4 linked regions of the Arabidopsis thaliana genome follow. The protein of the gene in region 4 purifies or fractionates together with the protein of the main gene of each other region. This does not show direct contact. Each region holds a gene or a part of one and is shown on either strand. Other genes may lie near its edges.

Evidence for each region.
Region 1: the proteins of DL1 (region 4) and AT3G15460 fractionate together in Arabidopsis thaliana (co-fractionation; one large-scale study listed by BioGRID). This does not show direct contact.
Region 2: the proteins of DL1 (region 4) and ADL6 fractionate together in Arabidopsis thaliana (co-fractionation; one large-scale study listed by BioGRID). This does not show direct contact.
Region 3: the proteins of DL1 (region 4) and AT1G52930 fractionate together in Arabidopsis thaliana (co-fractionation; one large-scale study listed by BioGRID). This does not show direct contact.

What each region holds. Positions count from the first base shown.
Region 1 is NC_003074.8:5,212,362-5,218,853, forward strand, and holds AT3G15460 (Ribosomal RNA processing Brix domain protein), read right to left. Parts: upstream 3,901-6,492; 5' UTR 3,828-3,900; coding exon 3,631-3,827; intron 3,548-3,630; coding exon 3,406-3,547; intron 3,027-3,405; coding exon 2,948-3,026; intron 2,813-2,947; coding exon 2,688-2,812; intron 2,591-2,687; coding exon 2,489-2,590; intron 2,402-2,488; coding exon 2,333-2,401; intron 2,246-2,332; coding exon 2,147-2,245; intron 2,053-2,146; coding exon 1,918-2,052; 3' UTR 1,723-1,917; downstream 1-1,722. Other genes in the region: AT3G15450 (aluminum induced protein with YGL and LRDR motifs), read left to right, coding at 689-894, 985-1,349, 1,447-1,637; AT3G15470 (Transducin/WD40 repeat-like superfamily protein), read right to left, coding at 4,269-4,867, 4,964-5,057, 5,159-5,241, 5,331-5,382, 5,494-5,651, 5,744-5,834, 5,933-6,492. UniProt on the Arabidopsis thaliana protein: Involved in pre-rRNA processing and required for biogenesis of the large (60S) ribosomal subunit. Required for proper development.
Region 2 is NC_003070.9:3,367,739-3,377,544, reverse strand, and holds ADL6 (dynamin-like protein 6), read right to left. Parts: upstream 7,144-9,806; 5' UTR 6,772-7,143; coding exon 6,631-6,771; intron 6,348-6,630; coding exon 6,297-6,347; intron 6,201-6,296; coding exon 6,080-6,200; intron 5,951-6,079; coding exon 5,858-5,950; intron 5,514-5,857; coding exon 5,452-5,513; intron 5,282-5,451; coding exon 5,164-5,281; intron 5,018-5,163; coding exon 4,681-5,017; intron 4,576-4,680; coding exon 4,428-4,575; intron 4,102-4,427; coding exon 4,000-4,101; intron 3,920-3,999; coding exon 3,800-3,919; intron 3,533-3,799; coding exon 3,449-3,532; intron 3,365-3,448; coding exon 3,237-3,364; intron 3,134-3,236; coding exon 3,049-3,133; intron 2,932-3,048; coding exon 2,793-2,931; intron 2,568-2,792; coding exon 2,491-2,567; intron 2,421-2,490; coding exon 2,364-2,420; intron 2,082-2,363; coding exon 1,937-2,081; intron 1,850-1,936; coding exon 1,710-1,849; intron 1,371-1,709; coding exon 1,257-1,370; intron 1,144-1,256; and 7 more. Other genes in the region: AT1G10280 (Core-2/I-branching beta-1,6-N-acetylglucosaminyltransferase family protein), read left to right, coding at 8,806-9,402. UniProt on the Arabidopsis thaliana protein: Microtubule-associated force-producing protein involved in clathrin-mediated vesicle trafficking from the trans-Golgi network to the central vacuole. Able to bind and hydrolyze GTP. Binds specifically to phosphatidylinositol 3-phosphate (PtdIns3P).
Region 3 is NC_003070.9:19,708,710-19,715,169, reverse strand, and holds AT1G52930 (Ribosomal RNA processing Brix domain protein), read right to left. Parts: upstream 3,992-6,460; 5' UTR 3,910-3,991; coding exon 3,701-3,909; intron 3,603-3,700; coding exon 3,461-3,602; intron 3,127-3,460; coding exon 3,048-3,126; intron 2,872-3,047; coding exon 2,747-2,871; intron 2,652-2,746; coding exon 2,481-2,651; intron 2,397-2,480; coding exon 2,298-2,396; intron 2,205-2,297; coding exon 2,067-2,204; 3' UTR 1,862-2,066; downstream 1-1,861. Other genes in the region: GPCR (G protein coupled receptor), read left to right, coding at 4,122-4,292, 4,426-4,604, 4,676-4,787, 4,881-4,997, 5,080-5,394, 5,472-5,810; AT1G52910 (fiber (DUF1218)), read right to left, coding at 6,042-6,273, 6,353-6,460. UniProt on the Arabidopsis thaliana protein: Involved in pre-rRNA processing and required for biogenesis of the large (60S) ribosomal subunit. Required for proper development.
Region 4 is NC_003076.8:16,819,182-16,828,224, forward strand, and holds DL1 (dynamin-like protein), read right to left. Parts: upstream 5,836-9,043; 5' UTR 5,356-5,835; coding exon 5,227-5,355; intron 4,860-5,226; coding exon 4,796-4,859; intron 4,700-4,795; coding exon 4,592-4,699; intron 4,505-4,591; coding exon 4,403-4,504; intron 4,319-4,402; coding exon 4,268-4,318; intron 4,143-4,267; coding exon 4,081-4,142; intron 3,908-4,080; coding exon 3,817-3,907; intron 3,722-3,816; coding exon 3,657-3,721; intron 3,460-3,656; coding exon 3,265-3,459; intron 3,013-3,264; coding exon 2,893-3,012; intron 2,825-2,892; coding exon 2,754-2,824; intron 2,615-2,753; coding exon 2,389-2,614; coding exon of another isoform or gene 2,383-2,388; exon of another isoform or gene 2,285-2,382; coding exon 2,234-2,284; intron 2,136-2,233; coding exon 1,907-2,135; intron 1,834-1,906; coding exon 1,694-1,833; intron 1,609-1,693; coding exon 1,480-1,608; 3' UTR 1,103-1,479; downstream 1-1,102. Other genes in the region: AT5G42070 (uncharacterized protein), read right to left, coding at 144-389, 733-938; AT5G42090 (Lung seven transmembrane receptor family protein), read left to right, coding at 7,649-8,968. UniProt on the Arabidopsis thaliana protein: Microtubule-associated force-producing protein that is targeted to at the leading edges of the forming cell plate during cytokinesis.

The sequences.
Region 1 (6,492 bases), on a different chromosome or scaffold from region 4:
ATGCAATGATGGGAAAAAAAGAAGTTAAGAGAGAGTTAGGTTTTTCAAGCTATGAGAGTGTATAAAAAATATTTGTGTGAAAGGAAAATTGTAACCAGGAATGAGTAATTGTTGGGATTGAATACGAGATTTTAGGAAATAGTTACAATAGGAATTCTTCATTAAATTAGATTGATCATAACTACAAAAGTTAACATTCATACATATCGTTAAGGTTCGATGAACCATAAATAGATATTCCGATATTTAAAATATCTTATATGATTGTATTAATAAAATATCTCATATATTCAAAATCATATTTCACTTAACTATTTCGCTGTCAAAAAATATCCTACCACTTTTCCAACATGACAAAAAAAAAACATACTACTTTTCTATCGTGGCACGTTTAAAAAATCATATCATTCCAAAAAGATTTACTCGTCAGATTAAATATCTAATCATCATTGGATTCACAATTTGTTTATTTACCTACCAGACACTTTAAAAAAAAAGATTAACTACAGAATAATTTTGTCTAAAAAGAAACGGATAAGAACACGTAAGACATGTCAGTCTTATCTTAAAATCCAAGTCAGCATCTCGTGTAATAATAATCTCGTACCTTTATAAAACCCCTCATTGTCTTCAACAAAAACATAACACATTTCAAGCATTGGATTAATCAAAGACAAAGAAAACGAAAATGTTGGCAATATTTCAGAAAGCTTTTGCTCACCCACCGGAAGAACTCAACAGTCCGGCTTCTCATTTCTCCGGCAAAACTCCTAAACTTCCCGGCGAAACTCTCTCCGACTTCCTCTCTCATCACCAAAACAATGCTTTCTCTATGAACTTCGGCGACTCCGCCGTCTTAGCTTACGCTCGCCAAGAAACCTCTCTTCGTCAAAGGTATATACTAATATACATAAAACACATATATACAAGTCAAATCTCTAAATCCAATTCATAGATTCATAATGGTTTTGTTGTTTTGCTCAGGTTGTTCTGTGGACTAGATGGGATCTACTGTATGTTTCTAGGGAGATTGAATAATCTCTGTACATTGAATCGACAATACGGTTTATCTGGGAAGAACTCAAACGAGGCAATGTTTGTGATCGAAGCTTATCGAACACTTCGTGATCGTGGTCCTTACCCAGCAGATCAAGTTCTTAGAGGTCTTGAGGGAAGCTTCGCTTTCGTTGTCTACGATACTCAAACTTCCTCTGTTTTCTCAGCTCTGAGTTCTGATGGAGGAGAGAGTCTTTACTGGGGAATTTCTGGAGACGGATCTGTTGTAATGTCTGATGATATTCAGATCATAAAGCAAGGCTGTGCTAAATCGTTTGCTCCTTTCCCTAATGGTAAACCAAAACTTAAGTTTTTCATTAGCCCTATAAAGAAAGAAACATACTTTTGAGTTTAGATCTTGATGTGTGTTTTGTGTTTTTGTTATTGCAGGATGTATGTTTCATAGTGAGACAGGGCTTAAGAGCTTTGACCATCCGACTAATATGATGAAGGCAATGCCGAGGATTGATAGTGAAGGTGTTCTTTGTGGAGCTAGTTTCAAAGTTGATGCTTGTTCTAAGATCAATAGTATCCCTAGAAGAGGAAGTGAAGCTAACTGGGCGCTGGCTAATTCTCGTTGATTTTGCTTCTAGTTTCGTTAACTCTTGCTTCTTTGTTGCGTTTTCTTTTTATGTACTCTTGTTTATGTAAATATAGCCTTATGAAGACGATAAAGAAATAAAATTGATTTGCTTCTTCGTGACATAGCAGTCTTTACTTAGACAACTGTGTGATAAATTCGCAATCTCACTCTTTGATAGATAAGAGGGAGGGAAGAAAGCAGTGGTAAAGACAAAACTGTGTTGATTTTGTGAATTTAGAAGTTTACAATAGCAAAAAAGAAACTTTGGTCGACTTTTATCATTCATCGTTCCACATGTCTGTAAATTCATCAGGCTCCAATGGGTTTGAGAGTTCATGCATCTTTCTTCTTGTTTTTGCCTTTATTTTCTTAGCAAATTTCCCAGCTTTATTTCTTTTCTCCAAAGCTCGAATCTAAAAGGCAGGAAATTGGAATATATGAGAACTCTGACAGATAATCATATATAGCAATGTGATCTATCAAGTTGCTTATAGAAGAACCAAGTACCTGGTTTGGAGATACATAGAATGGGTTCTCGTAAAGCGTTGTACCTCCAAAGCTGCCTCCAAATATCTTAATTGGATTTAAACAAAACCTTGGACCAACCTGTCATCAGGTTTTTACTTCAATCAACAACTAATTCTTCAGAAATTATGTAAGTTAGTGTTAGTATATATATAGTCATGGCCTGACCTCAATAAGAGTCATTTTATCCAGATCGCCTCGTGCAATCTTGTCTGACTCGTTATGAGGTACCGATATCTGCAATGGAAGCCTTGGCTAGTTAAACGAAACGTTTCCAAACTGAAATGAAATGAGAGCATGAGAGATGCTAAAATTTCAACTTACCTGGTAATTACGGAACCATATATGGTCATCAACAATGGAGAAAACAAACACATGGTCATGGTAAGGTTTAGACTTCCTATGTCCCTCGGGAATTCCAAAAATCTGTAAGCAAAAAAACAAAACTTAAAAGTTGAAGATATAAACCAAACTAACCGCGACTACAAAAGGATCGTCCACAATTCAAAAGTGAGAATGAGACCTGAGTTAACATCTCTTTCAGAAGTTTCCAGTGTGCATCGTTTTCAAAATTGGATGAGAATGTCAAAAGTGGGCGTGAACCTTTCAGATGATTTCCAGTGAGTTTCAGCTCCTCCATTGTGTGAACTTCACCATACAGAAATTTACAGAAACACTACTCAGAGACGATACAAATTGATAAACTCATCATTACCCAAAGTATTATTATATCCATCAGTCACTTATTTTGAAACCAAATAAGAGGAGCTGGAGACAAATTACCAGCATTAACCAAGAACTTAACGGAAGGTCCACCAGGGGACTTCACCATCCACATGTAAAGATCTTTGTGCTTCCTACACTGAAGACGAACACAAACAAACACGTACTAACTTCAGTTTCTGGGAAGAAATCAAGAATACATTGACTTTGCAGTTTAATACTCTACAGACATGCTGAAATCAAGTAAATCCAGACATGCTGACATTTAAAACAGAGAGACTAGAGAGCCCAATTTGAACCAGACAAAAGAGAATTCAATCTGTAATGCTCTTTGTTTCTATCATCAATGGTACGAAAGTTTTACCAAGTTACATTTCATACCAAATAGGTAAATACATGGAAAAAGAAATTAAGAAGATTGATACGAATATGATTACCAAACCCCTTACGAAGAGCAGACCATAGAACAGTAACTGGTTCTGGAATTAAGGTAGCCAAAAAAAAGATTGAAACTTTACCTCGAAAAACAAACAGGAAGAAGAGCCCTTAAGCTCGATGAGCTCATTAAGAGTGGCACCTCTACTGCTCTTAGCTTCTACCTTACTATCCTTCTTACAGTGAGGTAAAAGTGACACCATGTTCAACATCAAATGTCGATACCTTCCAACGAATTAACAAAGTTACTCCATGATTCATAACCATTAAACCGAATCAAACCCAATGTAAATTTCAACACCATTCACCTGAAATTGATCCGACGGGAACAAGTAACGAGAACCTTCTCTTTATTCCTGAATACAGACGCATACGCAGGTTTAGAGTTCTCAGCATCTTCCTTCTTATCTTTCCAACCCAAAAGAGTCCTTTGAGGTCTCTCCGGAGCAGAATCCTTCACCGGTGCCGCCGTAACAGTCTCGCTGTGCTTTCTCTTCCTCCCCATTTTTTGTGTCTATTGAAGAAGAAACAACGCTAAATTCTCTGATTTAGGGTTTTAGTACAAAACTCAACAACCTAAAGAAAGAGACAAGCTGCTTTAACTAAAAATGTCACAACGAAAACGACAACGTTTCTCACTTTTATACAAGGAATTTCAATGGGCCGGATCAAGCTTACATGGGCCTTAATGACACGCAAAAGAAACTACATTGCAAAAGAATTTTCCTTTTTTGGTTTCTCTCTTTCTATTTCCAATCAATAAACATATCTCTCTGTTCGTGTGTCTGTAACTCTACAATGATCTGTATAGTTTCTTTCTCTCTTTTTTTCTCTCCATTTTCCTGGAAACAAATCTGTAACAAAGAAGAATAGGAACAAAAAAAAGCTCAGCTAACAATAATACAAACCTCACTCGATTTTTCTTCACCACTCTGTACAGTTTTTATCAAATCCGAATGGGCAAACCAAAGTTCTGAAACGTTCGTATCTCTCCTCTGAGACCTGCAGTGACAATCACCATTCCCCAAGAAGCCGATACATTCCCTGAGTTTCCATTTGACGACGACATATCCGTACTCAGACGATTCCCACTTCTGTTCCTTGCAAACAACAGTTTCTCTTCAGGCCAAGTCGCTGACATTCTATCGAAAAAGTATCCGTTTGTTGCGCTCGATATGATCCCATTCCGTGGACTGTTTAATCGCTCCACAGTCCCCAGCTGGTCTACCGGTGTAGGCGGATGGTTAGCTGTGGAGATATTGTCCAAGTTATTGGTGCTTCCGTTAAACCCCGCTCTGTTTTGGGTTCCCCAGTTTTCTGTTGAGGCCATTCCAGGCCATGAGATGGCTGCAGAGACGTCTTGGCTATGGAAATGCTCGTAAGAGTTTGTGACTGTCACGTTCTTGTTGTTGTTACTTCTGCTTGGTCGAGAAGCAGGGGATTCGTACTTCCATATGTACACGTGTGAATCCTCGCTTGCTGAAACTACGTATTTCCCATCTGCTGTGATTGAGGCAGAGATCTGGCTGCTCGTATTTCGAAACCCTATCAAATGAAATGAAAACAGAAAAGATCGATACTTTGGCTCGTAAACAGAAGACAAAGCTTGAAACTTCAAAAGGCGATTGTTTGTCTGTTTACCTTTAAGTTTGTTAACTAGATCAGTTCCATCAACAACACGGATCCTTGAATCGGAAGATGTGACAAGCACTTCAGATGAGCTCCCAGGAACAAACTAAAATATGAAATGAGACAAAGCAAGGAACTTTTAGAGCCATCAAGAACAACGCGTTTTGTTTCACCGGATATTGCTCCTAAACAAGTGATTTTCGTTACCTGGAAACCAGTTATCTTTTTTTGATGAGCTTTCTTCTTCTTGTTCTGTAAATTTATCTGGCTTTTCTGTTGCAGCTTGTTATCTGAAAAAATAATTATCACTTAGTGTCGAAACATAAGAAATAGCAGAAAGAAAACCAATATCAAATCCCAACAAGAACTTCATCAGTACCTGATGCACTGTACATCCGACAGCTACCTTTGTATGAACCAACCAACACACCCTTCAAGTTTAAACAGAAATTCTTTAGAAAGTTAGGAAACTCTTTTAAGGATTCTTCATGAGATGCCAAAAAACTGGACTTCAGATCATAACTTGGCAGATTTCAGTGTACCTGACCATCTGGAGTGTAGCAAGCAGAAGTGACCATCTCATGAAGATCATACCAGTCAACTACTTGACGATCTGGAATGCTCCAGACGCGAACTTTTGCATCTAAGGATCCACTGATGAAGTATCTATCATCAACCGGATTAAATTGAATGCAAGTCACTGTTCCAATCAATAATCAAAACACACATTGTTAATTTGATAAGTACCAAAAGACGGAACAATTAAAAGCAGTTGGCGCAGAACCTACTAACCGTAATCACTGTGCGAAAATACTTTCAAGCAAGTCTGGCTGGACAAATTCCACAAACGAACTGTTTTATCCATTGATGAAGAGAGCAAATGCTGAGGAAACAAATAATAGAAAGCTTGTTTACTCATAAATCTTCTCTACCATTCAATTTCTTCCAAATAGTACCAAGGAAATAAAGTGACTAACTAACCTGAGACTTGGACCAAGCAAGGTCAAGTACATCATCCACATGTCCCTGAAAGGAACAAAAGGGCTTTTCCGAAAGCCCGAAAAGAGAATCTGGAACAAATATGTTCTCTAAACTCAATGACTTTCTACTTATAGAAGTTCTCCCTCTTCTCCTTGGTGACATAGTAGTCGGTTCTGGAGACCCATTAGTAGCCAAAAGCAACAGTTCCGGTCTATCAAGTAACAACTCACCCTTCTTCTCAGCCTCAACGACTTGCCAGATGTGAATGATGCAATCCTCACCAGCACTAGCAAGATATTTACCATCCAAACTAAACTTAATGCTCCAAATAGAACCATTATGCGCTTGAATCTCCTGCGTTTTGTACAATGCCGTGAGCTCTTTAGATGATTTCCCATACTGTCTAACCCTAACTCTTTCCGGCCCATGAAAAGAAGATTCCTGAGAATCATCAGTAGCAGAGCTCGACCTCCGACCACCTCTCTCTGACGATGTATCTCTATCATCGCTGCTTCGTCTCTCTTTGCTATGACCAGTCATGCTACTTGCAACACTCTTAA
Region 2 (9,806 bases), on a different chromosome or scaffold from region 4:
ACCAATAAACCCCAAAATTTAGTGATTTCATCAACTAGCCCTGAAAGTATTCTCTCAAGGCTTAAACAATGGAAGTAGTCTATGAAACTTCGATTTTATAAATTTAGTAATTTACCCAAACAGTTCAGATTCATAAGAATATCAGATACAAAATTCATTCTATAACTACTACAGCATAGCGTGCTCAAAAAATGGATGCCAAGAAAAGTTGAATAAGAAATAAAACAAAAATTCAAACAGACATTTGACTCATGAGACCAAACTCTTTTTTAGCTGCCAACACATGTGTGTGATAATATCTATCTACAAAGACCAAAAAACAGTAGTACAATCATCCAATCACTGTCTTAAACTAGAAAAAATAAGAGTAACGTAGTCCCAGAAAACGGGACACAATGCGCTTCCAGGGTTTTTTCTTCAGGTTCTAATACCTATAAGCTGAACCTGTAGGCGGTGGTGCTGGTGGCAACCGATTGGGGGTGGTGCGGCGGTTGCTACCAGACCCTGGTGATGCTGCATCTCCGTTCTGCGCAGGGTCACTGTAACGGCGGCTGTGACCACCGGAACCGTACTTTGACAATGAGTCTGAGGGTCCATTAGCAGCGGAGTTGAAGGCATTCATCCAGTCGTCCCCTGAAGAACCTCCACTTGCTCTTGGGCTACTCTCTGTAGGACAAGTGATACCAAGATTAAAAGATTTATAAACCTAAGTTTCATTGAAGATCTTTCAGATGGTATTTAAGAAACCGTATCAATCCAAACCAAGCAAGCAGAAGAACTGTTATCATGTTTCGAATATAATAAGGCGGATGAATTTACCAGTGCCACTGTTGTCCGAATAACTTGAAGCAGCTGCTGCTCGGTTGTCGTGAATGCTAAGCTGCCTCGTGAGTTTAGAAAGAAGAGAGGATTGTTTCTGGTAACGCTCTCTTCGTCTTTTGACATTCTGATCCTCTTGTATCAATGACTCAATCCTTTCATTGCCTATTGCACTAAAGATCAAATACAGGAGAGCACAAGTAAGCACACCACAACTGAAACGAAACAAGGCACAGGGAACGAAAAGATATTGAACCTTATAGAACTGTAGAGTTGATTCAGCATGTCTTCCTTTGCTTTCTCTACTTGACAAAGAACAACAGCCTGTTCATGGTCAATTCACATCGCTTAGTAGCATGACCGAGGAATCTCTGTAAGAGAAAAGAGATGGACAAGAAAATTTAGAGCTTTCGAGCTTTTGCATAAGGATAGTTCACCTTTGGAACATTGGCTGCAAGGCTGTTAAGAACAGCTTCAACGTAACCCCGTACTTCTTGGGACATCCACCGGAGCTCCTCTTCTGGATCGATGGGTTTCCTAACCATCTTATCCTGAAATACAGACAAGGAAAAAAACGTAAGTCTCAGAAAATATTATAAACAATAAAAACCTTAAATGTCAAACATAACTTATGTCAAGTTTAAAAGTAGTATCATGCATACCCCATAAACTGAGCCTTCTATAGGAAAAATGTTTCAATAATAAAAATTCGACAATGTTCAATAAAACATAAATAGCTTTGTTTGCTCTTCCAACAGTTTCAAACCTTCCGAAGTGAAGTTTCAAACTTTCTTCATAGTGATAATAAGTAATCCATAAGACTAGTGAACGTATCTAACATAGATTTAAGGAAGAGGAAATGTAAGAAAAGCTGCCCATGAGTGACTCACAAGTGAACCTTCTGAAAGACTCTGCCTCATGGAAACACTGCCCACTTGGCCTCCACGAGCCTGGATAACCTTTTGCAACTTATTAATCCACTCGTTCTTGTCGACTACACTCTCAGCCTTAAGCACAAGGGCATTGTGAGCTGCAACATAATAGTTTGAGGAAAACTCATAAAAGTGCGAATAGAAGATTAAGAAGTTTGAATTCTTATAATGATTGATTTATGTACCTTTGAGTACAGTCTTATAGGGAACCTTGCAGGTTATTTTAAACACAAGGCCTGGTCCTTTTGAATCAGGTCCATTTGCCTTCTTGTCCTTCGAGCTCTTTGACTTTTCTACTTCGTCCTCGGGGATTTCTTCAATAGTGCATTCCTGAGTGGATTAATAAAGTTGGAGGAAGTATAATTAGAAAAACATGGAAAAAATGTTATCTATAGAGTATCCAAATTTCTCATCGATAATAACAGAACTATTAAATATTTGAAGCATAAGCTTCAAAATACACAAGTAATTGTCACTCTCCAAGAAGGAAACAGTGTGGGAGAAAATAACAAGGTGAATACGAACTATATTCTTCTCTAATTCTTTTTTCCATGTCATATCTAATTATAGTTCACCTTTGGCAGAAAATAAAGCATAGGAAGAGAATGGTACCTCCAAAGTTATCGTGCCCCGAAAGTTTCTTTCTTCTTGCTTTTTGGTATAGCCAAGCTAGAAAAAGGTAAACAGTAAAGTCAGTAAGTTCTCAACAACTGAAGAATATACGTTTCAAAATGCTGACCTTTCCAGTTTTCTCATTCAGAACAAACCATCGCCTACTCCACCCATTTGTTTTTGCACTTTTCTTCATTAAGTACCCTAAATGAAAAGAGTAAGTATTTGTTATCTACCTTGGAAGTTAGTTTTGTCAAGTTAGTTTTAAGTGATAAAGAAGAAAAAGACATGAAGAAATCATGCACTTGGACTAAGAGCAAAGCTTTGCAGCAATAAAATCATGCAACGTAAGGAAAGCAAATCGGGAGTGAAAAAGCAGAATGAAACTTTTTAGACAGTAACTGGGTAGATGTATATTAGAATAACAACCTGCTGTTATCTCCCCCTCAGGTCCAGCAGTTTTCAGACCAGAGACCTCCGGCGTCTCTTTATCTTGCGGACTAGGTTTGTCTTTCATTGATTTTAAGCTACCACCAGCTGTTGGCCCATCTGGCTGAGGACTAGTAGCCTGATAAACATATATGTAGAGAATTTCCACATTATATATTTTCATGTAAAACGATAAAAAAAAAAAAAAAACATTTTTCACTACGTATATCCAAATTGATACAGAATGAACACACACCCTGCTTAAAAGGGACTGCTCTGCATCTTGTCCCTTCTTAGAAGATCGCCCTTTCAGCTCTTCCTCGCGACGTTGTCTTTCCATTCTGATGGAGTCAATACAGTGCATCGTCAGAAAGAGAAATAATTTTCAGTCATGAACCATTGAAAATAAAAACAAAAATTGCAAAGAAAGACAAGCCAAAATACCTCCTTTGCACAAGACGGATAAAATGTTGAGGTGGTACAAAAGCGCGTTCCATATCAACTAGTGCAACCACCATTTTCTTGGCTTCATTCTTGAAACCATCAAGTGCTGCACTTGCTATAGCTACAACCTGGTTGATGATTAGTCAGAAAGGAATAACTGTTACCGAAATGATAAAATATTACTGAATAAAGCACCAAAAAATCATTATTACCTCTCGCTTGAAAGGAGGATATCTCCCAAGTCCAGGTGTAGCATTTGCAGAAGCTGAAACTATGTCAACAAGAACTCGGTGAACCTAATCAAAAGTTAAGACCATGTTAGCTCAACACGTAAATAAGACAGAAGCTGGATGCATGAGTTTTAAAGTAGGAACCAAAAAATAGCTACATCTACGGTAAGGGATATTAACTTACTAAGGCTTATAAACCAGAAAACTTGACAGAACTCTAAATAACAGTTCGAAGAATTAAAGTGAGACAAGCCATAGCCAGTTCACAATGCAGTAAATTTCTAAAATTCAATCCTACTGCATGTACCTAAAAAAACATGTAAACAAGCACACCTCATCAACACAAAGGCGTGCCGGGTCTTTAGCCAACTCAAGGACAATCTTTATCAACGATCTCAACCCTTTCTCTGGAGATATAAGATAAGGTTGATAACCATCTGCCTCCAAAACAACCTGAAAATCAAAGATATTTTGACAAATCAAGTCTCAAAACTTGTCTCGTGCAGAAACTTAGGACAGAAGAAGACACCCACCCTTTTAACATTGTTCAGGTCAAAATGTCTATCCAATGGAAGCTGCTTGATACGGTTGGGGAAATTTCCTTCAAAACTTGCAACAACTTTCCAACCACTTCCCTGAACAAGAATCAAAAAGTTTTGAGAAAAACATTTGCCAAGCTCCAAAAGGGACTTCAGCCCATAAACTGAACACAGACAAGTACAAAAACTCTATATCAAACACTCAGTTGGCTTATACACATATTATAAACATCCACTATCAGATTCATGAGATTCCCAACAATATAATGTGCTCTTACCAAGCGTAGGCTAGCAAGAGACTTTCCACTACACTAGTACCAAATCTGAAATGGCTGATTGCTAATATTTGAAGAGTTCTTCTCTCTCACTATATTCTTGAATTTTCGACTAAATCTAGTTAACTTTTGTAAGAATGTACTTACTTCACCACCAGCCAAGTGCAGAAGAAACTTGTCTTCAAACTCACGGCAAAGCTCCAAAGCTATAGCCCTTGTACCTTCAGCACTGTTAACTAGTTGTTCACCAAGCCTCGCTAGCTCATCCTGCACTATTTGAGACTTACCCTGGAGCCTGTACAAAGAATTTGAAAGCCATATGCGTTCAAGCAACCAATGTCATATGCCAACACCATAATAAAAATCATGAAGAAAGCACATATATGGAGAGAAGCAATACCCAGACAGGACACTTGGAAGCCTGAGCTTCATTCTGCTACGAATCTGGCTAGCAAGGGTATCCACCAACGCAATTCTGCCAAGCTTGCTTTGTGGAGCCCCAGTCAAAATGGACTTAAGACTTTCACTCTCAGCACGCCAAGCAGTTTCTAAGGAGTTCTCACCACTTCCAGACTGTGCTGACGCAATTGAAACGGATTGGCCAATAACAGCAACCCATGGAATGTCAGTTGTTTTTGGAGGTCCTTGATTTGAAAGAAGAGCCTGAACAGCTGCAAGGGCTTTCGAGTTCTCTGCTGCCTGGTCAATTTTTCCAATAATGCCTATTGTCCTAGTACCTATAAGTAGGGAGGAGTGATGTTAGCTAATGAGTATTTTAAGCAAACTGAAGTGATAATAGGTAGGTAAATCAACAGTTCTTATCAGGTATACAAATAATAAACAATATTAAGATAAGACAGATCGGAAATACAGATGTACTCACTCTCTGGATCATACTCCTTTGCAATCTTCAGGGCTCGGGATGATGAAATTTCAGATGCCTGGCTAGCAGGCACTATAACCAGCAGTATGGCATCATTGTGTTGCGCGTATTCAGCAATCTTGCAAAGAGACCCAAGAAACAAACAACAATTTCAAAAGGATAAACATGATAATGAATCTATATTATCACTTCAGTAGGAAACCGATAAAAATAGTCAAAATCTTTTGTTTCGTGGTTGTCAGGCAAGTTAAGGATATGACAATGGCATTAAGTAGTTCCAAGCCTCACCATTGACTCGTCCACAATTCTCTGGTCCAGTCCAGGCAGATCAACTAATTTCAATGGTGGAGCTGCAATGTAAAGGGTAAACGTAACAGGTTATGATGGTCAAAGAAAATTTAATACTACGAAACTGTCGGTCATATGTCATATGTCATAACTCATGTTCAAAAGAGTGTGTACTGTTTATGTTAAAGCTCCGTTAGATATTTAATCTGATACCCACCAAAGTAAAGCTAGAAGCTCTAAACTAGTGTACTAGATAGTATATAAGGATAGCAAGATATTACAGCTGACCAGTTCACGGGTATCAAAGATAAATTCATACACCCAACTTAGGTTAGCTAAGGATGTGCTATTTGAAGAGTAGATATAGGCTTGCCACTTATGATTGTGCAAGTAAAAAGGGGCTTACCTGTGCTGGTACGAAGTTTTAAGTTTATTTCATCACGATTCTTCCCTGAGGCTCCTTTGCTAAGTCTATCTTGCAGAGAATGTCTCAAAGCACCTAAAATATACCCATGTAGAACACAATGGAGATATTATGAGAAGACTGATCGAAATTTTTTTATCATAAATGCAGAAAGAGCCTCACATAGCATTGCTAAATTGCATATGTTCATAGATAGAGACTTACTTGCAGAAACTTGTTGAGATTTATTGTCGATTTGCAAGATAATTGCCTTGCTGCTCAAAGAACTCTCCCTGCTCAATTCAATTATTATAGGAGCTCGTGTAGCACCATTCTCACCCGTCGGCTGTGTATAGTAAGTGTAGCAGACACAACAGAGGTCAGTATTAGTATAAGAAAAGGAGTAAGCCAATAATAACCATAGACTCAATGTACAACTTACCAGCACTGGATGCCCAATTAGACTGTTTAGAACTGCAGACTTTCCAGCTCCCTGGTTCAGTATGCAAAAAGAGATAAGTAACAAATAACAAAATACATCAGCCTTCTCCGGCACGAGTCGCTCCTCATGTAACCATATATCCACTAATAAAGAGAATCCCAACAAAACTAGCTATAAACGATGAGTGTGTCCTAGCAAAATTCGATAAAAACCTAATCTAGATCCAGAAGATCCACGATATGGCAATCCAACATACACTCGAACACAGAATAAAACCAGCACGAGCCTAAAGAGAGGAAAATCGAGGAGCGTGGAGTGAGAGCGAGGAACTCACCACATTTCCCAAGGCAACGACGTTGAGGAAAGTGGCAGGGCGCTTGGAAGAAGAGGTTTCGTCGGGATCTTCGTCGGCGAGGAGAGACGCCGCCTGCTTCATCGAATCTGAGAGCTGAGACAACTCATCGATCGCCTCCATCGCGACTAGCAAAAGCCCTCCGCGAATCGAGATCGAGTAACCGATTCAAAGTGAAGAGATCTGGAGGAAGAAGGAAGCCACTCGATTAGATCTGAGCAGACCGGAACCGAAATCGGCGGCAATAGGCGGGGTCTTTCCCGGTGAGACGATGGGCCGGAATTTGGAATCCGGTCGCGATGGTGTTAAGCTAAGATTTTTCGTTGGGGATTTCGTAAGGGAAGGCAGAAATGAGCGAAGACGAGGTCATAAAGAGGACGTACGTAAGATTTCACAATTACACGGGACAAGATTCAAATTTCAAAAGACTTACAAAAATCATATCTTTCTAATTTTTTTCTGATCGGTCTCAAGTGCTTCTTCTTTTTCTTACTTAAAAAAAAAAAAAAAAAAACAATGTGATGTGAAATACACATAAAAAAATAAAAAAAAATTATCAGTTCATTTAACAATTTATCATCTATTAGATCCATTCATATAACATTAGATGATGTTGGAATCCCACATTACTAAATCAATGTGAAGGTTCAAATAAAAATGTAATCAAATGTTGTTGTGGATCTCGTTGTTGTTCATATAGTTCTCGCGACATAATTTACCTCAAGGGAAGGCAAACAAAAAATCTATTCACAAGGTGTAACTATTTTCGTAAACTATTATAGTTTTTTTTTGGACAAACAACCCCTACTAAAATCTATTTGGTGTATGTTTTTTGAATAATTGATCCTACCAACCTAATTTTTTTGAACTATATGTGTTTTTTGTTGCCTGAATCTCATCTTCCCTTCTTTAGAACTGTTGTCTATCATCATACCTTCCAACATCTTAGGACTAGTTTGGCAATGTTGACAATTCTTTGTGATGTATGACAAGTATAATTATAAGGAAAAAATAAATAAACATTGGACATAAAAATCAGAAATTTCCAAGCTAACTATATGAAATTTCTAGGCACATTTCTTGGTTCTTTTGATACCATTTCTTTTTCCTTTTGGACATCTGGATATCATATTGTTTGTTTGGGATACTAGTTCTTCCCAAGTTTTTAATCTTAATTAGCTGCTTTGGATCCTTAATAGAAAAATAAACATTTCATATATTCCGGAAATTAGTATAGCCATCGGTTTTAGATTTTCTGGTGATTAAGATATAAGAAGATATTTTTTCAAATATAATAATGAAAAAACAAAATCTACAAATCATTAAAAAGGAAAAAAAAAATCAAAATTAGAATACAATACATTGTCTCAATACTATAACATAACCAAAAGAAGCATCAATAAATTTTACTAATAGTTAATAAGTACAGAAAAAATCGAAAAATTCTAGAAATGTTAAAAGTAATTTTTTTAAAAATAGTAAGGATATAGAAATTAGATAATCAATAAGTTTGACTACTGGATATCTAGAATTATTTCTATAAAAAAAAAAGTGAAATGTCGGACCAAAGAGTTGACGAGCACTAAACCACGTCACAATTAAACGTGGGCCCTCCGGCCCAATAACTTAAAACCAATAGATTATTCCCATCTGGCAAGATCTGCGGACTTTGAACTCGTTATGCTTTTCGACGTGGAGTTTTAAACTCAATTAATCTAATTAAATTAAGCATAACATTCCAATTAATTTTGTTCTTTTATATATATAAGATCAAAATCAACCACACACACACATAGATTTCAACTGGAAGAAACAAAAGACCAGATTTGTTTATGTTTCTTCTTCTTCTTCTTCCTCTCTGCATGAAATTCAGTTTCTGATCTGTTTCAGTCATCGTTTCTCACTTTCCTCGAAGATTTCCACAGATCCAATTTCCATTTATCCACTTACCTTTTTCGATTTCGTTTGATCCTTGGATTTAATTATATGTTACAAATTTAGGAAATTTCTCGAGGAGATTGAATGCAATGGATTTGTGCTTGAAACAATCAGATTCTCTTTGAATCATAAGAATGTTTCCCTGAAACTTTATTTTTGGGGAACAGAGATCATCACTGTGTTGTTGTTTGGGTAGACAAGTTTTGAGTTTCTCGAACAATGGCGAGAGGAGGGAAAGAGGAAGGAGAAAAACACATAGGGTTACTAAAGCTGGCGCAAACGCTGTCGTTTTTGCTAATTTTCATGGCTGGAATCATCATCGGTCTCGCCGCAAGTTCTCACATCGATCGCTACTTCAATTCTTTGCCGAGGATGTTCTCATCAACCACTAACCTCCAATCGATTCCTTTTTCGACTCCTGATTACTCCAATTGCACAATCATCCACCGAGACTGCACAGGTAACGACGACAACGAGAGCGACGACGGAGGAGTCAAGGCGGAGAAACCAAAGGTTCGAGATTGTTGGAGCATTGATGGGTTTGTTCGGCCAGAGAATCTGAGTCATGGAATGACTGATGATGAGTTGTTCTGGAGAGCTTCGATGGTTCCGGTGAAGGAAGAGTATCCGTACGATAGGGTTCCGAAAGTGGCGTTTATGTTTCTGACGAGAGGGCCTTTACCTATGCTTCCGCTTTGGGAGAAGTTTTTTAAAGGCAATGAAAAGTACTTGTCCGTTTATGTTCATACGCCTCCTGGATACGACATGAATGTCTCTCGTGATTCTCCCTTTTACGACCGCCAGATCCCCAGCCAGGTACGTTTTGATGCAGGACAGTGAACTTTTTGTGTCTTGCTTGTGTTCTTCAGTGGATCAGAACAAAACAAATACTTAGTTTCACCAGTGACTTAATCTTGTATACAAGAACAGAGTAATAGATAAGTAGATAAGAAATATAGTCATTCTGGATCATGGAGATCTAGTTCTCTAGAGGAACAACATGTAGATCTAATCGGCATGATGGAATCCAAGTTACACTGGCGCGTGACTATTTGAGATTGTTTATAGGATTTGAACCTTTTAATTGTTTCTTCCACTGTCAGCTACATCTGTTTCAAGGTTGTGTATTAGATGAAGCTTTGTTACTAATTTTGCTATTATGTGATTATTTGGAACATAGCTGGTTTTAGTTTAATGATCGGGAACAGCTTTTATTATAG
Region 3 (6,460 bases), on a different chromosome or scaffold from region 4:
CACTTTAGTTTTATGAAGTGCTTATGATTCTTTTGCTACTGCCATCTGCATATACATCAAATCTAAGTTAGAGGACGTTTGTGATTTTAAACATGCAATCAAGACGAATATACTAAAGATGAGTTTGTGGAAAAGAGTTTTAGAGAAACGAACCTATGGTAGTTATTTTTCAAAATATGATGCTAAAACAACAAATAATTACAAAATTTTTACAAAAGAGATAAAACAACTAGTATATGTAGCTCGTAGAGTGTGATTTTAGAATGTGAGTTACGTTAAGCATATCAAAAAACCAACGAGCTGTTGGACCAGTGGTAAAATCTCTCAGGTGGAAGTTCGAAGCATGTTAGGAGGGATCTCTTTTCTAAAGGAGATGAATTTAACCTGGTGTGGATCCCGCCTCTGGGAGATGTAGGGCCGAGTTCTTCCTTTAAGAATAATCAACTTGTAAACTTAACAAAAATAGAATCGACTTTCTTACACTTAATGGAATCAACTTCCTGCTTCCGACTAAAAGGTATCAGATCACGGCCTTTAATCTTCGCTGGAACAATATGAGCAACGTAGAACTGAGATTTTGGTGGATCGACAACACTCTAACTGATTTAAAGAACGGAAAAAGGGAGATCGATGGTCCATTAAACGCTAAGGAGAGAAGACGATGGGTTTAGGTTTATAGTTGTATGTTCACATGAGGGAAAAGGCGTTTTAAATACAAGACCTCGACATTTAACACAAAACGCAGAGTTTAACAAAACATAATAGAATAACAGTAGAGGAAAGCCTCTACTTCGTTCATAGTCTTTTTGTTCCTTTAGCCACTTTTCTTTAGTAACTTCCTCAAGTATCTCTCCATGGCCTTAGCCTTTCTCCCTCCAGACCTCATCCTCTTTCTCATACATGCTAAAGGAACACTTAACCTATCAAATTGAACCAACATGACCTATTCAAATCATTGGCTGATCACGCTGCCGCTAGTCGATGCTTAGAGCATCCTATCTACGATGCTTTGTCTTTGAAGAAACAGGACGAACTCGTTGCACGATGCGAGGGAAACTGGAAGCAAGTTTTGAGTTTCATGCAGTCCATTGATGAATCTTGTGCTATGGTGAAGACTTCAAGAGGCAATGTAATTTTTCTTTTTCATAAAAGTTTGGAAATTGTTTTAAAGAGCGTGGCTTGTTGTTACATACCATTTGGTTATGATATAAATCTCGGGATTTGGTGAAGACTTGAAGAGGCAAAATATTGTTTCTTTGATAAAGACTTGGACTTTTTGCTTAGATTTGTCAGTTTAGTTAGATGATTTTGGTAAGTGTTGCAGTAGAAATTGTTTTGAAGAGCATGAATTGTTATGATGCAAGTTGCTTCACTTTTGCAGATGCAAGTAACCACGGGGGATAGATTCACAATGGTAACCAAGGACTCAAAAGTATACTCTTGTGGTACAACTGCGTGGGCTCTTGGTCATGGGAAGGAAACTAGACGATGTCATGAATTGAAGCATATAGATTTACCGTTTCTTCTTTCTTTAGCCATAATAGAAGCTCTGTTCAAGCGGAGGGATAAAATTTAGGAAATAGAAATGATCCAGATTTAGGATGGTATATCGATTGAGCGGGAGTGCATTCTCTGCGCAAGTGATTCAAGTATCAGCCTGTGACTATACAATAATGAATTACGTCTCTTTAAATAAAAGAAAGATAATGAAAACTCTAGCCTAAAAGCCCAAATAAACATTAAGCCCTTGAGAAACAAAACCCAAATAACGAGCTAGCCCAAACTTGAAGAACGATTTGAGATGCGCTGCATCAGAGATGTTGATAATCAGTTATATGTAGAACTAATTTTAAAGGCGATGCTTGTGCAAAGATTAATAGCGTTCAGAAGAGAAAGTGAAGATATGATCCTGAGTTGCTTGTTCCTTACTTTCAATGATGTCAAGAAACTTAGAAACATATCATTGCAAGACAAAACTTTGTTTATGTTTGATAGTGAGCGAAAACAAGACAAAACTAAAATAACAGTAAGACAAAGTGAAGTGATACAATTTTCCTGAACTCTGATCATTCATCATCTTTCCACATATCTGCAAACTCATCAGGCTCCAACGGGTTTGAGAGCTCATGCATCTTTTTCCTCGTCTTCGCCTTGATCTTCTTAGCAAATTTCCCAGCTTTATTTCTCTTCTCCAATGCTCGAATCTAAATACATTGATTTAAAATTTGCTTAAGGAAAGTTCTAAGATTCATTTGGTTATATCTTTTGCTTGCAAATAAGAGATTAATCAATGATACCTGGTTTGGAGATACGTATAACGGGTTCTCATAAAGAGTAGGACCTCCAAAGCTGCCCGCGAATATCTTGATTGGATTCAGACAAAACCTTGGACCAACCTGTTGTCAATAGTGTATCCATTTCAATCAAAAACCATGGTCGAAAGACTATTATTAAAAGTTTGTAACTCTTTGTCCACAAACCTCGATAAGGGTCATTTTATCCAGGCCACCTTTTGCAATTTTATCTGACTCATTGTGAGGAACCGAAATCTGGTAATTTCGGAACCATATATGCTCATCAACAATTGAAAAGACAAATACATGGTCATGGTAAGGCTTAGATTTCCTGTGTTCCTTAGGAATTCCGAAGACCTGAGAGATAAACAAAACAAAACTAATTAGGATGTGAAAGTCTTGAGAACTAATGGACCAAAAACATTATCCAAGGATATGAATCTGGCAACAACCTGAGTAAGCATCTCCTTCAAGAGTTTCCAGTGCGCATCTTTATCAAAATTGGATGAGAATGTCAAAAGTGGACGTGACCCTTTGAGATGATTTCCAGTGAGTTTCATCTCTTCCATTGCGTGCACTTCAATATACAGAGAACAAAAGTAAAAATCCTTTTACCAAAAAATACATAGTTACAGAAACAGAACTCAGATATAGAACAAGACACAAGCTGATTGAACCCATCATAGCTAAATACGTGACTAGATCTATCAGCTCTTGCCACTTAAACTAAAGTCAGAGGATCTCGACTCTTACCAGCTTTAACCAAAAACTTCACAGATGGTCCATTAGGGGATTTGACCATCCACATGTAAAGATCTTTATGTTTCCTACACTGAAAATGGAAACATAAACAAATACAAATCAACCAATACATTCAGAGATTGTACATTTACATCAATATGCATATATTAAGCTTCCACAACAAACCAAACCCTAACAATTTGGGATAACTATCAAATTTTGATGACATGGAACAAATACTAAATACCAATAGAGTCAAAGATTGTCCATTTGCATCAATATGCATATACATAAGCTTCCATCGAGTATTCTAATCACAAGTTTCTGAGGTTTGACTTTTGAGTCAAACATTCCACAGTAAAGGAACAAATCTGACTACATGGAACAAAAACTAAGCCTAGAAATAAGTAAGATGGAAACTTTACCTCGAAGAACAAGCAGGAATTAGAATTCTTAAGCTCAATGAGCTCATTCAAAGTCGCGCCTTTGCTACTCTTTGCTTCAACTTTACTGTCTTTCTTACAGTGTGGTAGAAGTGAAACAATGTTCAACATCAAACTCCGATACCTTCACACAAAAATCCCCAATAAACAAATCAATTTCAAACCCTAAAAACGAAATCAAAACCAAAAGAAAGGAAACAAATTTAGCAATTTAAACTCAACCTGAAACTGATACGACGAGAACAAGTCACCAAAACCTTCTCTTTGTTCTTGAATCCAGATGAAGTCAAAGCTTTAGCTTTCTCAGCTTCACCTTCACTCTTATCTTTCCATCCCAATAGAGTCCTTTTGGGTCTATCCGGAGCAGGCTCATCGCTCTTTTTCACCGGCGCCGGAGCTTCCGTCTCACTGTGCTTCCGCTTCCTCCCCATTTTTTTGTTTTTCCGCGTAGAGACGTTTTCTCTAGGGTTTTAGCAAGTGTTTTAAGGTCAGAGACGAAACAGAGAGAAAAAATCATGGGCCGGTCATTATTGGGCTTAACTTAAGGCCCATTAATAATGGTAACGATGTGTCACTTCGTCACTTCGTCGTTAGTCTCTGTTCTTCGCGGTCCTCTGCAGCAACCGCTGAGAGAAAGAGAGATATGGGAGAACGGTTTTTCCGAAATGAGATGCCGGAGTTTGTACCGGAAGATTTATCCGGAGAAGAAGAAACTGTTACCGAATGTAAAGATTCGTTGACGAAACTGCTATCACTTCCGTACAAATCATTCTCAGAGAAGCTTCACAGATATGCTCTAAGCATCAAAGATAAAGTAACTCACTTTTCAATTTGATTATATATGATTTTGAGTTATAATGAAGTTATGTAGTTATAATGAATTTATGACTTTTCTTTAGTCTAGTGAAGTTGTGTTTTCTCTTGTTTGTGTGGTGATTCTGTTTTAGGTAGTCTGGGAGACATGGGAACGATCTGGAAAACGTGTTCGAGATTATAACTTGTATACTGGAGTTCTTGGGACAGCTTATCTCTTGTTCAAATCTTATCAGGTTACTAGAAATGAAGATGATCTTAAGCTATGCTTAGAGAATGTTGAAGCTTGTGATGTAGCTTCAAGAGATTCTGAGTAAGTGAATTTTCTTCAATGATCCAATTTTCATGAATTCATTTCGGGGTAATGATTGTGGTTTCTATCAGGCGAGTGACATTTATATGTGGCTATGCTGGTGTATGTGCTCTTGGTGCTGTTGCAGCGAAGTGTTTAGGTGATGACCAGTTATATGATCGTTACTTAGCCCGTTTCCGAGGGGTAATTACTAATTACAGTTTCTTTTGCTCTAGTGAAAATAGATAACTTGTTCTATACTTTGCTTGAGTGTTGCAACTTTGATCTGTTTAACAGATTAGGCTTCCTAGTGACTTGCCATATGAGTTGCTATATGGTAGAGCAGGATACTTGTGGGCGTGTTTGTTCTTGAATAAGCATATTGGTCAGGAGAGTATATCATCTGAACGAATGGTATAATAAAGTTATAAAATTTCTTTGGTTAATTGACTTACTCAAGAAAGTTCAAGATTTTATGATATCTCTATATCTTCAGAGATCAGTGGTTGAGGAAATCTTCAGGGCAGGAAGACAACTCGGGAATAAAGGAACTTGTCCATTGATGTATGAGTGGCACGGGAAGAGGTACTGGGGGGCTGCACACGGTTTAGCTGGGATCATGAATGTTTTGATGCATACGGAACTTGAACCAGATGAAATCAAAGATGTCAAAGGTACACTAAGCTATATGATACAAAACCGTTTTCCTAGCGGGAATTACCTATCTAGTGAAGGAAGCAAATCAGATCGCCTTGTTCACTGGTGTCACGGTGCTCCTGGTGTTGCTCTCACACTTGTAAAGGCAGCTCAGGTAATCATTTGTTGATTGAAGTACTCTTATCAGTAAGTAAAACCACAATGCAAAACTCATTTTCTGGATATCGTCAGGTTTATAACACTAAGGAATTTGTAGAGGCAGCAATGGAGGCAGGAGAAGTTGTGTGGAGCCGTGGATTGCTTAAACGAGTAGGAATCTGTCACGGTATCAGCGGAAACACATACGTGTTTCTTTCTCTATACCGGTTAACAAGAAACCCAAAGTATTTGTACCGCGCTAAAGCTTTCGCGTCTTTCCTACTCGATAAATCAGAGAAGTTAATCTCAGAAGGTCAAATGCATGGAGGAGATAGACCCTTCTCTCTCTTTGAAGGTATCGGAGGAATGGCCTACATGTTACTCGACATGAATGATCCAACACAAGCTCTGTTTCCAGGTTATGAACTCTAAAATGTATAAAACTTACACTGTAACAATAAGCTTAGATACTGAAATGTAGAATAGCTGTCTATATTAATAAGATTTTATACATCACAAGAAAACAAAAAAAAACAATTGTGATACAAGCAAGAAGCAAAATGACTAACATCATCAAATTTTAATATCCTATTGATCAGTGAGTGGATAAATGGACAAACTCATTCAGGGTTTAGCTTTTCTTGTTCTGGATCTCACTACTCACTAGTAATGTGGGGTTTGGTAACCGTCTCGGGCACGAGAATAGGAGATGTAATAGAACTGAGAGACAATAGCAGTGAAGAGAGCAAAGGAAGCACCAGCAGCAAACACTCCTTTACGGATCACTTCACAGCTAGGAGGGTTTTCGATGTTCCACATCCTTCTGTACGTAGTGTGGTACGCGTTTCTGATTGATCCCGCGAGCAAACATACCTCAGCAATCAAGAAAAACACCCTGTTCAAAACCAAGTGTAGAATGATGTGTCAAGTCAAAGTCATAAATTATAGAGATTGTGTTAAGTATAGAGTTTTACCAGCAAATAAGGAAGAGCATAATGCCACAAGCTCTTGAACCACCGGGTTTAAGAGCTTTGCCGCAGCAGAAACACCGACTAGCCACCATAATAATGACTTGACTAATG
Region 4 (9,043 bases):
AAGAACATGATCATCATTACTCTGCAAGGTTCTCAAACCCATTTTGACATTCTTGTACATGCCAAAAGACGGTTTTTGTTGCGGTCCAATTTGTTTCATTGTTGATTGTAAGTGTATATAAATAATACTAGGCATTAACATACCGTAGTAGTGAATCACTGGTGTCTACAGAAGTGGAGGATTTAGAGTCACCACGACCAAATGCAACCTCGTCCATGCTCTGCCCTATGCGGCGGTATCTACCTCCGGCCTCAACAAACGCGGGACAAGGCCTGTAAGCCTTAATTGGCCACCAACCGAAACCGGGGACAGTTGCAATGCCACCTTGAATCCGTCCGTCACCATTACACCCACTCTCTTTCTCTTCTTTCCCACACGCTCTGCAACCACTGTTTCATTCCTCATGTTATGATCTATTGACTATAGAGAGATGGATCCATCACAATTCACAAATGACAATATAACCAATCGCTCAAGCCAACATGAGACCACAAAGAAATTTATGAGGTTAGTTATTGTAGAGAATCATTTTAAGAGATTCACTAGTGTAACAAAATTGAAGATTCATATAACACTAACAAGTTAACAGCAGAAAAGAGTCTCTATGATTTCATCATTTACGCAATCCCTAATCTATCACTAACTCTAAAATCCTTAATGTCAACGAAATTGGATTAGCTGAGAAAGGTTTAAGCTTTCCAATGGAATCGATGAAGAGAAGCAAAAGGGTACCTGAAAGTGAGGTCGTTGTCGTCGTCATTATCAGTTTCTACGACGGAAGACGGCGAAGAAGAAAGAGAGAGTAGTGGATGAGGATGATGCTTTGATGATTTGTTGAGAAAGAAACTGCTTGAGCTTGGCCATGGCCTTGATTTGTGACTACCATTGTTGAAGATGAAACATCGAGGCAGAGATATTGATGAAATGGAATTCGCCATTTTTCTTTCCTCTGTGAGCTAAGAGAAGAGAGTGTGAGAAGATAATGGCCACAAATTCAGAAACGCAAAACAAAATAAAAAAGAGTACATTACAAATTTTTATTTTAAACTATTAGAATTTTTTTCTTATTGGTAATCATATTTAAATATTATACTCTTTTTTTGGGTAGAATGTTTAATATTATACTATTGTTACAGAAAAATTATCATATGCGAAAAATACATTTTATAGTAATTAAATAAAGGGAATAGAGAAAATCTAATCTATGTGGATGTTATAAAAGATACGTAACATATCGGGTGATGGACAAAAAACATTAGAGGCAGGACAAACAATGTGGATGTTATAAAACGATACGTAACATATCGGGTGATGGACAAAAAACATAGAGGTAGGACAAACAATGTGGATGTTATATAAAACGATACTGCATGGTATCGGGAAGATCATCTTATACAAATTACAGACCCTAAATCTCTGCTCCGAGTCTGAGCCACACCGACCAGAACCGAGCAAAACAGTGGACATGACATGCCGGTATCACTTGGACCAAGCAACAGCATCGATCTCGGATTGGGCTGCTCGATACAATTCTAGCCGCTTTGAGATGGCACTGCGTCTCTCCATGATTGCTGGATCTTCGTTCAATAGCGACGAGAGCCTCTTCATCTGTTGGATATCACCATATTAGTTGACTCAGTGTTTACCCGAATGACACTTCTTTAGGTTAAGAAAAAAGGCAGAGAGCACTTACATCCATGGTACCGAGCTCCGCAAAGAAATGGTCGAGGAGACTGCGCTTCGCTTCTCGGACTTGGCAGTATACGATGGACTTGGGGATTGAATTCCGCAGGCCAGCACAGACCATGTTCACGTAAGACAAAACATTGGATCCTGTTGCCAAATGTCTAAAATTTGTGAGATATACGGTACCAGATAATTATTTATTTATATGGGTTAACCTTACCGATTCGTCTGAGATAGGAATCGTTGTAGCGGTCGAAAATGGAGTGTGTGGGGTTACCACCCTTCTCAACATCCTGGGGAAGTTTCCTGAAGAAATCAACAGTGAGGTAACTGCACTCCATGTCAACCAGCTGCAGTGTTGCTTTCTTACTTCCTTCCCGCATTTTATCCAGCGACTCTATCGCCGCATTTGTCACCTCCACTCTCAGAGCTGGGTATTGTTTTAGTTCCTGCACATGTTCAAACCGTCTATAACATTGTACAAAAGTACTAGTTGTTGGAGATATATATATATATATATATATTACTAAAAGAAAAAAGAACGTACCACAGTTTCATTCACAGACTTGTGAACCAGATCCTTTAAGATAGCATGAACCTAATATTTAACCATAGAAAAAAAAAAAAACGGAGAGAGAAGCTTATTGTTTTGTGTTAGGTTTTTGATACATCTTTTTAGAGATGAAAGTAAAGAGTTCATACGGTGTCAACAGATGCTTCAGCAGGGCCTCTGATGGAGACAATAGAAGACTCAATGAGACGACGGTAACCTTGCTCAGGAGCAATCAAGTGAGGCTGGTAACCATCAGCCTCAGTGACCAGCTTCCGGATGTTGTCCATCGCTAGCTGCTTGTCAAATTGGAGTCTCTTCAGAGCCGCAGGAAGCTGGTTATCAAACACGTTGTACACTTTTTCACCACCAGCACGCCTGTGTAATCAACCATAGTCTTAAATTACAATTTTCCTTTTGTAGTTTCAGAAGGTCAAGAGTAGAAATATCAACTCAGACGCTATAACAACTCATGGTGTAATCTTAAACATTTGAAGTAAAAAGAGTCAAAACGTACACTCCATCAAGATGCTCTTTGAATATTTGATCAAAAAGCCGACATATCTCCATTATTGAGTACAACTTCCCCTGCATCAGAACATTAAGTAAATCTTGATAGCGCAATTCAATCAAAAATAAAAGAATACACAATTTACCCCTGCATCAGCTGCAATAGGCTTTCCAAGGCGACTTAGTTCAGTTTCCAGCTCTAATACTGTTTTGTTAATAAGTGACTGAATGCCAGGAATTCTCGACTTGATCACACGTTCTAGATGCTGCGCAACAAATAAAATTGTTGCAATTAGGCTCTGTCCTGATGGTTTTATACAGAGAAACGTGCTAAGCATTGCCATAACTTCGTAGTTTCTTAGTATTTTCTGTCGGCTGCTAAGAAAATTAGCAGCAATCGTGAAAACACTGGCCCTGAAACTCTTATTTACCACTCCTAACAAATTTCACAACGCCAACTTACTTATTATAAAGAACCTGGTGAAGAAAACTACCCCTAGCCTCGTGAAAGCACGTACCTTGGAGAGCATCTTTGCCAAATGCTCGGAACCCATTTTATTAGCAAGGTGCCTATACTCAGTAGTATTGGAAAAGTACTCCCTCTCTCTTTTCCGAGCCGCAATCATGTCGACATTCTTGTTAATATCTGCTTGGGAACGGTTGACGACACCAACCCACGGATATTTAAGTTTAAAAGATCTCCCTTCCAGAATCTGAGCAAAAAATATCATTTGGTAAGTAGCGGTGCACGCAATAAACATTAATGAGGGAACATAAGTATTATGATGTTACTACACAAATTAGCATTTTATAGCTCCAACATCATATCATAGACTAATTACAACACATTTTATTCACAGTAATTCGAAATTCTAGTACAGATGTTCTATAAACTGGGAATTCAACTTACTTCCACTGCATCCGTCCCCTTGTCCATAAGATCAATCTTTGTCAAGACACCAAATGTTCTGTCCCCTGTGAAGATCACCAAGATTATAAGAGACATAGGATGACAGAATAATGTGTTGGGTCTCTTAGGTGGAAAAATGAATTGTTTGTAAAATGCTCACCCGATGGATCAACCTCACGGGAAATTTTAATTGCATCTGAGGTAGCAAGATCTTGGTTTGCAGGTGAGATTGCCAAAATGATGCAGTTGGGCTATAAGGAAATTTAATTAAATAAAAAAAAAAACAGAATAGTGTCAACTCATTTGGCGCTACGAAAACATAACAAATATAGGGAGAATACTTATATATTACCGAATCTAATTTAAACTGGCGATAGCTATCTATAAAACATTAAAGGGTCTGGGAGTAAGCATTTTCATTTACCTTTTCAATGTAGGACCGAACCATGTTTTCAATGTCCTTCACTATACTATCAGATTGTCCATCTGCATCAACCAAAAGAAATTTGTCGTGTCATGCCAAATTATGTATGGTAGAGAATAAAGTCTATTGCCTCATGCTTCATCGCTAGAAAAAATAGACCAAAACTTCTTGCTCTACTGTAACTTACCAACAGCAACTTTTGTAAGCCCTGGAAGATCTATCAGTGTCAAGTTGACAACTGCACACATAGTAAAGAGGATAAAAAATTAGAGAATGAACAAAAAGCACATACAACTGGAAAGAGATTTTGGGTTGTCCTTACCATTGGGAGAGTATATGCTAAGGTGAATGGGAACACTAGAAATAGCCTTGCTGCGTCCAGTCTCTCTGTCAGTCTCATCTTGAATCTCCTTCCTCACAGCAGCTATAGAGGTGATTAAATTAATCAAATATCAATGGAATACAGGAGAAGGTGAAACTTGAACTGCAAATTGAGATAGCCGAAACCCACCAAAATCAGTAAACTTTTTCCTCGGGAGGTGAAGAAACTCTGCATACTCCCGGGTTCCATCATCGATCTTTTGCAACTGTAAGACAAGGGGCCTTCGAGTAACAATGCCTACAAATAGTTACCGCAAATGCATATTGTCATTACTCAAGGAAATAAGCAATTTCATAATTAAAACTAAGTAAGAAGTGTTAACACTGTATTTACCAGATCCACGGGGTAAAAAGTCCTTTCCCACGATGCTCTCCAGGACTGAAGACTTCCCTGAGCTCTGTCAACACAATAAGGATACAACATAAACTTAATGCCACATAGAATTATCAAAGTACAGAAACCCCTCTCCACAACAATCGTAGCTTAAATTAAATGGTTCAAGACCAACTAGTGAAAAAATATCCAAGTCAAAGCCAAGTCAACATTCCTCAATACCAATTGCTTGCAAAGCTAGTTCATAGTAGAAGCTATTAAACTATAATTCCTCACGATCCGGATGTTGATAAGCAAAAACAACGAAGTTTAGGGCAAATTTATCCGAATACCTCAGCTCAATATCAATTCCGAATCGCAAAAAAAACGAACGAATCGTGAGATAGATCGTCAAGCATATAATGGAAGGGGAAGGAGATCGAGATGCAAACCTGACCACCAACGACGGCGATCGCAGGCAAGGAATCCCAAAGAGTAGGTAAAGCGCTGGAGTCTCCATGGTCTCCTAAAGCCGTGCAAGCTCTCTGTATCTTGTTAACCAGAGAGATCAGATTTTCCATCGTCCTCTACTCCTCGTTTCCCCAATATCAAATGAGAAGCCCAAAATACAGTAGCTGCTACAACAGATCGGCGAGATCTGATACCTCCGCCGGTAAAATTTATTGCGGAAGGAGTAGATCTGCGATGCGACGGTGAGCTATGGAACCAGAGAAATAGAGATAGAGAGAGATGAGTTTTTGAATTTGAGTCGATGAAGAATTTTTGCTTGCTAGTGTTGGGAAAAAGTAAAGGGGAAGAAAGCGGTTTATATAAAAGCCAATACAGGGTCTTTTCTTTTCCAAAGAAAATTTGAAACGGCATGGTGTTTATTTCGAGAATTCAAAGACGACGAGGAGTTGACCAAAAACAAAATAAAAACGACGAGGTGTGTCGTATATATTCAACCAATCCCTTAATATTCCACATCTCTCTAACCAGGTAAAGTAATGATAATACTATTGCATGCATGACCAACCATATAAATAAATATAACAAGGTCGATTTTCTTGTAAAAGAATGTAACGAGTTAAAATTCGAATAAAAAAACTATCACTTATTAGTAGAGTAAAGTGATTTCATGTGGACCACGAACATCCTCATTACGATTGCAGTTCAAACGGTCCATAGATTGAGGATTCAAAAAAAAGATAAGAGACGTTAAGGATTATGATTGTTTATTCAAAAGGATGACACTAAACAACAAAATAACTGTAGTTTTGAAAATTTGAATGTATAAAATAAAGATCTTTTCTAGAACAAACCCACTAAATCTGACTAGTAATGTCACATCGATTTTAGATAGCGTTTGCATTTTGGCAAATACTATGTTTGGTTGGTGAGATCCAAACGCTTTTTAGAAATGTATAAAACATAGCACTAACACATTTTTAAACCTTATGTATTGTTTACGCAAATACACGTTATTTATTTTCCAGCTAAGTGGTGAAAAAATAAACCGGTTCACATTTTTTTTTTTAAATGTTACTAATGTTGTGTTTGTCTACACAATTTTTTTAAAAAATGTTACTAATGTTGTTTGAGACAAACACAACGTGTAACTTTGTATCCTACATACTCTTGTATCAATTGTTAGATTTTATGATGTTCATACGTTAACAAATATGTATCATGTGACCAACTTCTATCCCTCAAATTAGAATTTTGAAGTTAGTGAAAACGTGATGTAAAATAGGTTTAACATATGCTTTATGGGAATATGTTGAGACTAATATGAAATACAAATGAGGTTGGAGTGAGACATGCTATGTAATATATTTAGGTATGTAGACTGTATGTCTCCGTAGCAGCTGCATGAATTTAGCTTCCAAAAGCACATATACTTGCACGGGTCACACGGTTTATTTGCAGTGTAACTTTTTCGAATTGCGATTCTTGAACAAAATCTCTAAGAGTACTCTTCTACTACTTTCTGATGTTTTTCGTCATATGTGAGTGGAAGATGTTGGTTTAGTGTCGGGTTGTGTAGAGAGGACAAGAGTTAGACCATAGACACTCAAACAGTCAAACCAATCTATTATAAATAGATAATATCTCTCCGGTTTAGTATTTAAGCTTTCTTTGTATACCATTTATGTTTAATGAAGGTTTCGCGCTTGTTGATACAATCTGAACGAGATCTAAAGAAACCGTAAAAACATTTAGAAATAATACATCTCCAAAAAAAAGTCATTCGGAAAAACATTTTATGATTTAAATTGATGGATAATTTGTTCTCAACTTATACATCCAATTTCCGACCAATTCAAAACGAAATTCATCAATACTTTAATTTCTTCCTTTTTTTTTTTTTTTTTTTTTTGTCAACCGATATAAATTTGAACTCAAAAGATCCAATCCCGAGAGATATTGTTTACATACGTGACATGATGCGGTACGGTACGAATCTTTCGTGCCAACTTATCCGCTTTTACATTTGCACTACGAGAAATTAAAGATAAAGAGAAATTTATGAATTCTTCCCTATCACTCTACAACTCCTTCAAATACACTGGAAACGCCGGCCATTCGGTTGGAATCGGTGAATTGGTGAAATTTTTGTTTCTAGAAATCAACTAATCCGTCAAAGATGGTTTATTCCCTTAATGATGAAGGAAAATGGGTTCTCTTGTTGCTAATAAAATAATGGTATTTATTTTGTTTCTTAGAAAGAAAAAAAAGACTAATTTAATTTGGTTGGTCACACACAACCGTTTTCATCGGAAGAAGAACAAGTTGGATTGATTTTGCTTTGGATCTCACATCTGAGATCAGATTAATCTCTCTGTGAAGTCGAAGAACGAAACCCTAGTTCCCATGGATCTCTCTTCACGCTTCTCATCGATCCTTATCCTTCTCTTGATCTCCATCTCCATAGCTTCGGCTGAGATTCGTAAATCAGAGATCCGATCCGATGATCGTCCAATCATCCCTTTAGACGAATTCGGTTTCACTCACAGCGGTCGTCTTGAGCTTGACGCTTCCAAGATCTGGCTTTCCAACAGCAATCCCGATCTCGATCTCTCCAAAGTGGGCTTCTTTCTCTGCACTAGAGACGCTTGGGTTCATGTGATCCAACAGCTTGAAGAAGAAGAGATCACGTGCGCTCTACAATCAGATCTCGTTAAGCATGTGTTCACCTTCAACAATCTCAAGGGAGGAGATAAGAGCAGATTCTCCACCGTATTCACCGAGAACGATGCGGATCAGTACTCTCTCGTCTTCGCTAATTGTCTCCAACAGGTCAAAATCAGTATGGATGTTAGATCCGCTATGTATAACCTTGAAGGTAAAAAGGGAGGTCGTGATTATCTCTCTGCTGGAAGAACTGTTCTTCCTAAGGTCTATTTCTTATTCTCTGTTATCTATTTCTCTCTCGCCGCCACGTGGATCTACGTTCTCTATAAGAAACGTCTCACTGTTTTCGCAATCCATTTCTTCATGTTGGGAGTTGTTGTCTTGAAAGCTTTGAACCTTCTTTGTGAGGCTGAGGATAAGTCGTACATTAAGAAAACTGGAACTGCTCATGGTTGGGATGTCTTGTTCTACATTTTCAATTTCCTTAAGGGTATCACTCTTTTCACTTTGATCGTCTTGATCGGCACCGGTTGGTCTTTCTTGAAGCCCTACTTGCAGGACAAGGAAAAGAAGGTCTTGATGATTGTCATTCCTCTCCAGGTTGTCGCTAACTTTGCTCAGGTGGTTATCGATGAGACTGGACCGTATGGCCAAGATTGGGTCACGTGGAAACAGATCTTTTTGCTTGTTGATGTCGTCTGTTGCTGTGCTGTTCTGTTTCCCATTGTCTGGTCCATCAAAAACTTGCGTGAGGCGGCTAAGACTGACGGGAAGGCTGCTGTGAACCTCGTTAAGTTAACTCTGTTTAGGCAGTACTACATTGTGGTTATCTGCTACATCTACTTCACTCGTGTTGTTGTGTATGCACTGGAGACCATTACCTCTTACAAGTATATGTGGACTAGTGTTGTTGCCAGCGAGTTAGCCACACTTGCCTTCTATCTGTTTACTGGCTACAAGTTCAGGCCAGAGGTGCATAACCCGTACTTTGTTGTTGACGATGAGGAAGAAGAGGCTGCTGCTGAGGCTCTGAAGCTTGAAGACGAGTTTGAATTGTAAGTCATCACTGGAATAATCGTGTCACGTGTGAGTCAGTAAAAAGAAACATACTTTGTTTGACAGGATGATTGAGAG